Ovis aries: one gene and its partner. The protein of the gene in region 1 interacts with the protein of each later gene in a pairwise test. Links are inferred from orthologs where the notes say so. Each region holds a gene or a part of one and is shown in the gene's direction. Other genes may lie near its edges.

Region 1 (3,999 bases):
GTGAGCAAGAGGTGAATTTTTATGTGCTACCTGCTGAAGCATATTAAAAAGCAGAGACATTACTTTGCCAACAAAGGTCTGTCTAGTTAAGGCTATGGTTTTTCCAGTAGTCATGTATGGATGTGAGAGTTGGACTATAAAGAAAGCTGAGTGCTGAAGAATTGATGGTTTTGAACTGTGATATTGGAGAAGAGTCTTGGGAGTCCCTTGGGTTGCAACCAGTCCATCCTAAAGGAAATCAGTCCTGAATATTCATTGAAAGGATTGATGTTGAAGCTGAAACTCCAATACTTTGGCCACCTGATGCGAAAAGCTGACTCATTTGAAAAGATCCTGATGCTGTGAAAAATTGCAGGCGGGAGGAGAAGGGGACAACAGAGGATGAGATTGTTGGATGGCATCACCAACTCAAGGGGCATGAGTTGAGTAAACTCCGGGAGTTGGTGATGGACTGGTGTGCTGCAGTCCATGGGGTCGCAGAGTCGCACACGACTGAGTGAATGAACTGCTGAAAGCCTGGGCACCCCACACCTGTATCCTCAAGTGAATCAGCAAACTGTACTGATTGGGTAACAGGTTTGGGGCACTGAGGCTGAGCATAACACAGTGAGGAAGTTCCAGCCCTCAAGGAGACTGCAGTTTAGTGAAGGGGCAGGGCCTAGACTCCTGGGTCTGAGGGAGGAGCGCTGGGGGTCTGGACCCCCAGGTCTGAGGGAGGAGGTGTGGGGGGCCTGGACCCCTGGGTCTGAGGGAGGAGGGGTGGGGGCCTGGACCCCCAGGTCTGAGGGAGGAGGGGTGGGGGCCTGGACCCCCAGGTCTGAGGGAGGAGGGGTGTGGGGCCTGGACCCCCAGGTCTGAGGGAGGAGGGGTGGGGGCCTGGACCCCTGGGTCTGAAGGAGGAGGGGTGGGAGGCCTGGACCCCTGGGTCTAAGGGAGGAAGGGTGGGGGGCCTGGACCCCCAGGTCTGAGGGAGGAGGGGTGGGGGGCCTGGACCCCTGGATTTGAGGGAGAAGGGGCTGGATTCCCAGGCCACCAAGGTGAAGGGGTGATCCAGCTGGAGCATGGCCCGCCCCACCCCTCACGCGCCCCGTTATCTCGAATCCTGGGCAGGGGGAGGAGGGGGCAGCAGTATATTTAGTCTCCGTCCTCGCCCTTTATCTCAGTGTCCTCAGTGAGGTTTGAGCAGACCGGACGAGACAAGTCCCAGGGACCTTCAAGGTCACTCCGGACGCTCCCTCCCTGACCCTCCAAGAGCTCCTTGCTCCCGGGGTTCTGCCTCCCTCAGCTCCTGGCCTGAGACCCAGCATGGCGGACCGGTGAGTGAGGACTGGTAACCTGGGCTCTTGAGGCCGGAGGCGGGTGGGGGCTCATCTCCCGGGTCCCTGTGAGGAGTGAGAGTTGCGAGCCTGGACTCCACTCTGAGAAGGAGGTAAGGACAGGAAACCCGGGTGTCCGAATGAGGTGAGAGCTTGGGACTCCAACCCCTAGGAGCCTAGAATGGGGAGCTGGTAGGCCGGAACTGTGGTCAGAAGGGCCTATGGGGTCCCTTGGGACACGGACTAGACAGGACCCAGGCCCACCAGTCACCCGCTTTCTTGGTTTCTCTCCCTCCAGGAGCGGCAGCAGTACGGTGAGAGCGGGCGTGGGCTGGTCCCGCGTGCCCGGGGAGGGGGCTGCGGGAAGGGCTCTGGGGAGAGAGACTGCAGCCCTGGAAGACGGCAGGGAGACGGGTTGGGGAGGGGGGCTCCCCGTCGTGACTCAGCCCCGTTCCCCCAACCCCAGGCGGGGGACACGGTCTCCGCGCCCCCTCCTGTCCGACGCCGCTCGTCAGCCAACTACCGCGCCTACGCCACGGAGCCGCACGCCAAGGTGAGGTCGGGGGCCAGCGAGGGCGCGGGGCCGGTCGGGGGGCGCCTCGCAGGGTTTAGATTCAGGTTCTTAGGGCACTGGCGTCCTGGGGAGGCGGGGCGGAGCCAGGGCCCTCATGGGACTTTGGTGGTGGGCGGAGCCCAAGAGGAGTAAGGCCTTTATGGGACGGGCTTAGCAGAGGGCCGACGTCTGATTGGTGCGAGCTTGAGGATGGGCGGAGTCCCGCCGCCTCCGCACCTGAGAACGCTTAGAGACGGTGGGCGGAGCCTAGCTATAGGCCCCAGATTGGTGGATGGGGATGAGGGGCGTGGCTTCCCGCGGGCTGGAGTTGGAGGAGGGACTTGACTTGAACGGGCGGGATTCTGATACTCCTCCCGCCGTCCTCCGTCATCCTTCCTTGCTGTCTTACCCGGCAGAAAAAGTCTAAGATCTCCGCCTCGAGAAAACTGCAGCTGAAGGTACGGATGAGCCCACGGAAAAGCTAGGTGTCTTCAGGGGGCGGGTCTTGGACGTTGGGGCGGGGCTTCGGGTGAGCGACTGGGCGGGGCCTGAAAAGTTTGGCGGCGGGATGGCCCTGCCAGGGAGGGCTGGGGCCCGGGAATGATGGACATCAACCTGGAGGAGGCAGGTCTCTGGAAGCCGGCCTGGGATTAGAGGGCGGGGCCCGGTGAGGGTGACTACCCCGCAGCGTCCTCATCCCAGCACTGGGCCGCGGTTCCCGGCACCCCCTCCCTAGACCCTGATGCTGCAGATTGCGAAGCAGGAACTGGAGCGGGAGGCCGAGGAGCGGCGAGGAGAGAAGGGGCGCGCTCTGAGCACACGGTGCCAGCCCCTGGAGTTGGCCGGGCTGGGCTTCGCGGAGCTCCAGGTACTGGTTCTAACCAGGGACTCCGGCCCGGCCTAGGCTCCCAGGTTCCTAGTGTCCGATCTTGCGTCCCTTGGGACTCAGGGGTATACTTACGATGCCCCCACTCTTCTGCTCAGGACCTTTGGGCCCAATTTGCCAATTCTCACCCTTAGGAGTTCAGAAATGTGGCCCCCAGCTGCCTACAACCTCAAAACGCAGAGACTGGTTCCTCCAGCCCAACTCCAGTCCAGATTCTCAGAACCTCTGACTTTAGAACCTCTAAAGTTCCCCAGGGTCTGACTTCAATCTACTCCTCCAGGTCCCCAACCCCTCCTCCTTCAGACCCAGGAGTCCAAATCCTGGGGTTTCTCCTCACTACACACACCGCATTCCTCCACCAGGACTTGTGCCGAGAACTCCACGCCCGAGTGGACAAGGTGGATGAGGAGAGATATGACGTGGAGGCGAAAGTCACTAAGAACATCACTGAGGTGGGAGGCACTGGGCAGCCTGGGTCCCTTTGGGGTAGTGTGGGATGATTCAGGCTCTGGTCTCAGCCTGGCCCCTTGCAGCTCCTTACAGCTGCAGACACCAGGAGACGCAGGACAACTCTGTGAACCTGGCAGGGAGAGGCCAGAAGGATGAGCACAATAGGGTCAGGGATGAGCACAAAAGCCAGGAGGGGACAAAGCAGGAAATATGTTTGTGAACATTTGTGGCTGGAGCCTCAAGTGTTGGTAAGTCAGCTCAAGTGTGGGCCAGGGACCTGTGAGATGCATGTAACTGGACTGGGATGTGTCGGTGGCTTTCAGAGATGAGGCCAAGGCAAATTGGGTATCCAATTACAGGATGGGGAGCTTGGATTTCATCCTGAAGGTGGTAGAGGCCTGAACTAGGGAGAGCCTGGCTAGGGATAGGAGAGAAGTGTAGGGTGGAGAAGTGAGGTAAGCAGGAAGAGGAGGGGGGTCTCCACCTCCCTTTATGGCTTCACCCAGATCGCAGATCTGAACCAGAAGATCTTTGACCTTCGGGGCAAGTTTAAGCGGCCCACTCTGCGTAGAGTGCGGATCTCTGCAGATGCCATGATGCAGGCACTGCTGGGCGCCAGGGCTAAGGAGACCTTGGACCTGCGGGCCCACCTCAAGCAGGTGAAGAAGGAGGACACGGAGAAGGTGAGTGTGGCTCAGTCCAGGAAAGGGGGTGCTTGGGGGAGGAGGTAGTGGGCAGCAATCCTAGGGCCCAGCCTGAGGGCGGGTGATATTTGGAGTTGTGGGGAGAAGTAT
Region 2 (3,984 bases), on another chromosome or scaffold:
CTGGTGGAGGCCGTGGATTCTCAGGGTGGTCTCCCTTTGGATTTGACTTGATCTACCCACCCCTTCACTCTCCAGGAGGCCAGCTGAGCTCCTCCAGACATCTTCCCTGAGCTCCAGCAAAGGGCAAGCTGTCCCTGCATTTACTTAGGGAAACCTCCTCTGGTCCCCTCCCCTCCTAAAAGAGTGAATCCCCAAACCTCCTTTCCTGGACAAGGTAAGCTTGAGAGAAGAATCTACTTTCAATGTTTCTTTCTCTTCCAAGTGCACACCCCGTTTCCTGGACCCCTCTATTCATTTTTCCCTCCAGACAGGTCTCTCTGGAAGACCGTCTGCCCCAACTTCCCCTCAGTCAGGATGAATAAGAATCCCCAACGTGACTACAGAGATTTATGATTTACAAACCTCCCCGGTAAAAAGGGGAATAACCATAGTTGCTACCTCACAGGATGAGTATTGGGTGAGATCAGATGATTAAAACGCTTAGCACATGTGCAGCACGTCGCAGAGGTTCAGTAACTGTGGCTGTCAATTTCCCCTCATCCTGTCCTGTCCCCCTCTGGTCTCTGATCCAAAGACAAAACACTCCATTTGCAAAGCACTGACTTTAAGTATTTGGCACAAGCCCAGTGACTTAAACCCAGGCTCCTGTTTACCATGGTTTCTCTGGGAGGGAGGTTATGACTGTCTCCATCTCACACACAAGGAAACTGAAGTTCAGAGTGGCATTGCCACCTGCCCACGTATGCACAGCTTGTAGAGACAGGACTTGGATCTTGGGTTTTGAACGTCAAGGCTTGTGCTCTTCCATGCTACTACGGTTGCCTCTCTTTCCTCTATCCTGATCTTCCTCACCCATCTGGGAGCAAGTGTGCTTCTTGGGGGCGGGGTGGGGGGGCTCACTAGGAGTGGCAGAGCAAGGCGGGTTCTCCTCACAAGAATCTAGGACGTCAAGGCTCGCCACCTGCTCAGAGGCTTAAATTTCTCTGCAAGGGCCCTTGGCTAAATTAGGTAATGGGCTAGGACTCTGGGAGGAGGTGGCTCACTGACCCCAGGATCTGATTGGCCAGGGCATTGGTCCTGGGGAGCAGGGAGGTGGGAGGAGAGGATGCCCCTACAAATCCGAGGGGCTAGAGCGGGCCAGGGCATCTTTGGGTGGTGGAGTACGGAGAAGGTAACCTACAGCGAAGGAGTCCAGGTGGACACGCAAAATGGTAAGGGTAAGGATCCAAAGGGACTTCCTCTCTGCCTTCACTGGAGCTCTTCTGGGCATCTCTCAGATCTGGGTGCTTGGTGGGGCAGTCACTTGGATGTTTGAAGATGGAATCTGAACGCTCCTGGAATCCCGGTGTCTGGGAGGAAGGTTGGAAGAGGGCCTTGGACTTGTCTTGGAAGGGGACGGCTAGTGAGGACGTTCCAGGGGCCCATCCTCTAGGCTTGCTGGTTCCCTGAGATCTTCTGAGGCTTCTAGCAGTGTGGATCAGGGGACCATGAGTGGGCCTTAGCTTGTCTCCCTCGTGGTGGAGAGGGGGTTATCCAGCAAGGCAGTGAGTGGTGGTGGGGGGATGGGCTGGAAGCCTTGCTAAAGCCCTCCTCTGGAAGACAGGAGGCCTGCTCAGGAGCAGGACCCCCAGAGCTCCAAGGGGCCAAAGATGACAGAGCAGGGTTAGAGAGATGTCACCCTCCCGGAGAGGGGCTGGGATTTGAGGCTGTGCTTCTCCTCGGTGAGCCCTCCCCACTTCTCTTCAAGGAGTAACTAGACCCGGAGGGCAGCTGCTGTTGCCCATGCCTTACTAAAAATAGTCTGCCCTTCTGGCTCAGGACTGGGGAGGGGGAGGGGAAGAGGGGGAGGGGAAGGGGAGGAGGGAGACAGGGAGGACAGGCAGTAGCCAGCCAGCCAGCCAGCCAAAGGACTCCTAGGATGCTTCAGCACTCCCTCAGGGCCAGCCTCAGTCCAGAGCCCCGGCTGGGTGGCTGGGCTTGGATGTGATCGGAACTCTCCAGAGCCACCTGTCACCCCCACAAGGCCCACATCCCACTCTGCCCAGCACCGAGTGGTATCTACTCTGATGACTGAGTCCGCGGAAGGAAGCTTACACCCTCTGTCTCTGCAAGTTCTGAGGGAGGGAATGTGCCTGATTCCTTGGTGGTACCTGGGAACCACCTGGGAAACAGTGCCTGGTCTATGGCCTGACCCTTGGTCAGGACTCAGTAACTTTCCGTCACATTATTATTTGTGTGACCACAAACATTTATTGAGCACCTATTAAAGTACCGGGCTTCCCTGGTGGCTCAGAGGTTAAAGTGTCCACAATGCGGGAGACCTGGGTTCAATCCCTGGGTTGGGAAGATCCCCTGGAGAAGGAAATGGCAACCCACTTCAGTGTTCTTGCCTGGAGAATCCCATGGAGAGAGGAGCCTGGTAGGCTACAGTCCACGGGGTCGCAAAGAGTAGGACAAGACTGAGTGACTTCACTATTAAAGTACCAAGTGTGATGAGCAGGTAGGGAACCTAGAAATCATGCTGGAACCATGCTGGCACTTTACAAAACCTTCTCATTCGGCTGATTCCAGCTGATCCCTGAAAAGCTGCTGAGAAGAGATCAGGGAATGAGGTACATTAATGACTCGCGGAAAGTCATGGGGTGGGGGGCCCTGACTTGATCTCTGATAGACAAGTGAGACATAATCCCCAGTTCTTCAAAAGTGGGGCTGGGTGCTGTGGGGGCATGTCCAGAGTGGGGCAACTGGAAGCTGTTGCTCTGCAGGGACGTAGGGGGCACGTACAGAAATGGGGGTGCAGGATAACGGGGTGAAGGCAGGAATGTACTCCCCTCTGTCCCTTTGACTCTTTGATGGCCCGTGTTTTCTGCAGACCGACCAGCAGGCTGAGGCCCGGTCCTACCTCAGCGAGGAGATGATCGCTGGTGAGTTAGGGGTGGGCAGGCTGGCTGCTGGGAGGCGGGGTGCCGGGGAACCTGGAGTGTCTGGGCAGGTGGGGAGAGAGTATGTGGATGTGAGGCTGACAGTCTCGCCAGGCTCACCTCGGCTCTCTGCACTCCTCGCCCTGGCAGAGTTCAAGGCCGCCTTCGACATGTTTGACGCGGACGGCGGCGGGGACATCAGCGTCAAGGAGCTGGGCACCGTGATGAGGATGCTGGGTCAGACACCCACCAAAGAGGAGCTGGACGCCATCATCGAAGAGGTGGATGAGGATGGTGAGCCGGCGGCCCTCGGGAGGCGGGGTGGGAGGGTGGGTGGCGTGGCAGCCAGGGCTGGGCCCACTCACCACCCGCTCCCCTCAGGCAGCGGCACCATCGACTTCGAGGAGTTCTTGGTCATGATGGTGCGCCAGATGAAAGAGGACGCCAAGGGCAAGAGCGAAGAGGAGCTGGCTGAGTGTTTCCGCATCTTCGACAGGTGCGTCGGGGGCCCTGGGAACAGCCAAGGCGCGGAGCAGTCTGAATCTGGCTCTCAGGGCCCGAAGGTTCCGGGGGGGCGGTTGGGGGTGCAGGCGGGGGGCGTGGCGCGGGAGGCTGGCCCCTGCGGGCCCTGAGCCCCGCGCCCAGGCCCTACACGCCCGCAGGAACGCGGACGGCTACATCGACGCCGAGGAGCTGGCGGAGATTTTCCGAGCCTCCGGGGAGCACGTGACAGACGAGGAGCTCGAATCCCTGATGAAGGACGGGGACAAGAACAACGACGGCCGCATTGACTTCGACGGTGAGGGTCTGGGGCGCGCGGGGACCGGGGCGCGGGGACGGGAGCCCCCAGACCTTCGCCTCCCGGCGGGCGTCCTCCGCCTCGGGGGCGGGGCGGGGGGGGGGGGGGGGGGGCGGGGTGGGGTGGGGTCAGGTCCCTCCCCGCCTCCCGCGGGCCGGTTTTGTGCAATGCATCCGCTAATAGCCGGGCGCCCGGTCTAAGAGGCTAGGCCCGCCCCCTACCCCCGGGACCTGGCCTCGTCCTCCGCGGGGAGACTCGTAAGCG

What was found. The genes of interacting proteins can lie anywhere in the genome.
Region 2: the proteins of TNNI3 (region 1) and TNNC2 interact in binary tests that used the Homo sapiens proteins (3 or more experiments, as listed by UniProt). The two-hybrid records come from large-scale screens. The link is inferred for Ovis aries from reciprocal best matches to the Homo sapiens genes TNNI3 and TNNC2.

What each region holds. Positions count from the first base shown.
Region 1 is NC_056067.1:63,047,519-63,051,517, forward strand, and holds the start of TNNI3 (troponin I, cardiac muscle), read left to right. Parts: upstream 1-1,161; 5' UTR 1,162-1,305; coding exon 1,306-1,316; intron 1,317-1,614; coding exon 1,615-1,630; intron 1,631-1,782; coding exon 1,783-1,869; intron 1,870-2,285; coding exon 2,286-2,327; intron 2,328-2,605; coding exon 2,606-2,737; intron 2,738-3,117; coding exon 3,118-3,207; intron 3,208-3,711; coding exon 3,712-3,888; intron 3,889-3,999. UniProt on the Homo sapiens protein: Troponin I is the inhibitory subunit of troponin, the thin filament regulatory complex which confers calcium-sensitivity to striated muscle actomyosin ATPase activity.
Region 2 is NC_056066.1:74,576,230-74,580,213, reverse strand, and holds the start of TNNC2 (troponin C, skeletal muscle), read left to right. Parts: upstream 1-1,144; 5' UTR 1,145-1,208; coding exon 1,209-1,217; intron 1,218-2,788; exon of another isoform or gene 2,789-2,869; coding exon of another isoform or gene 2,870-2,872; coding exon 2,873-2,924; intron 2,925-3,071; coding exon 3,072-3,215; intron 3,216-3,302; coding exon 3,303-3,417; intron 3,418-3,583; coding exon 3,584-3,720; intron 3,721-3,984. UniProt on the Homo sapiens protein: Troponin is the central regulatory protein of striated muscle contraction. Tn consists of three components: Tn-I which is the inhibitor of actomyosin ATPase, Tn-T which contains the binding site for tropomyosin and Tn-C.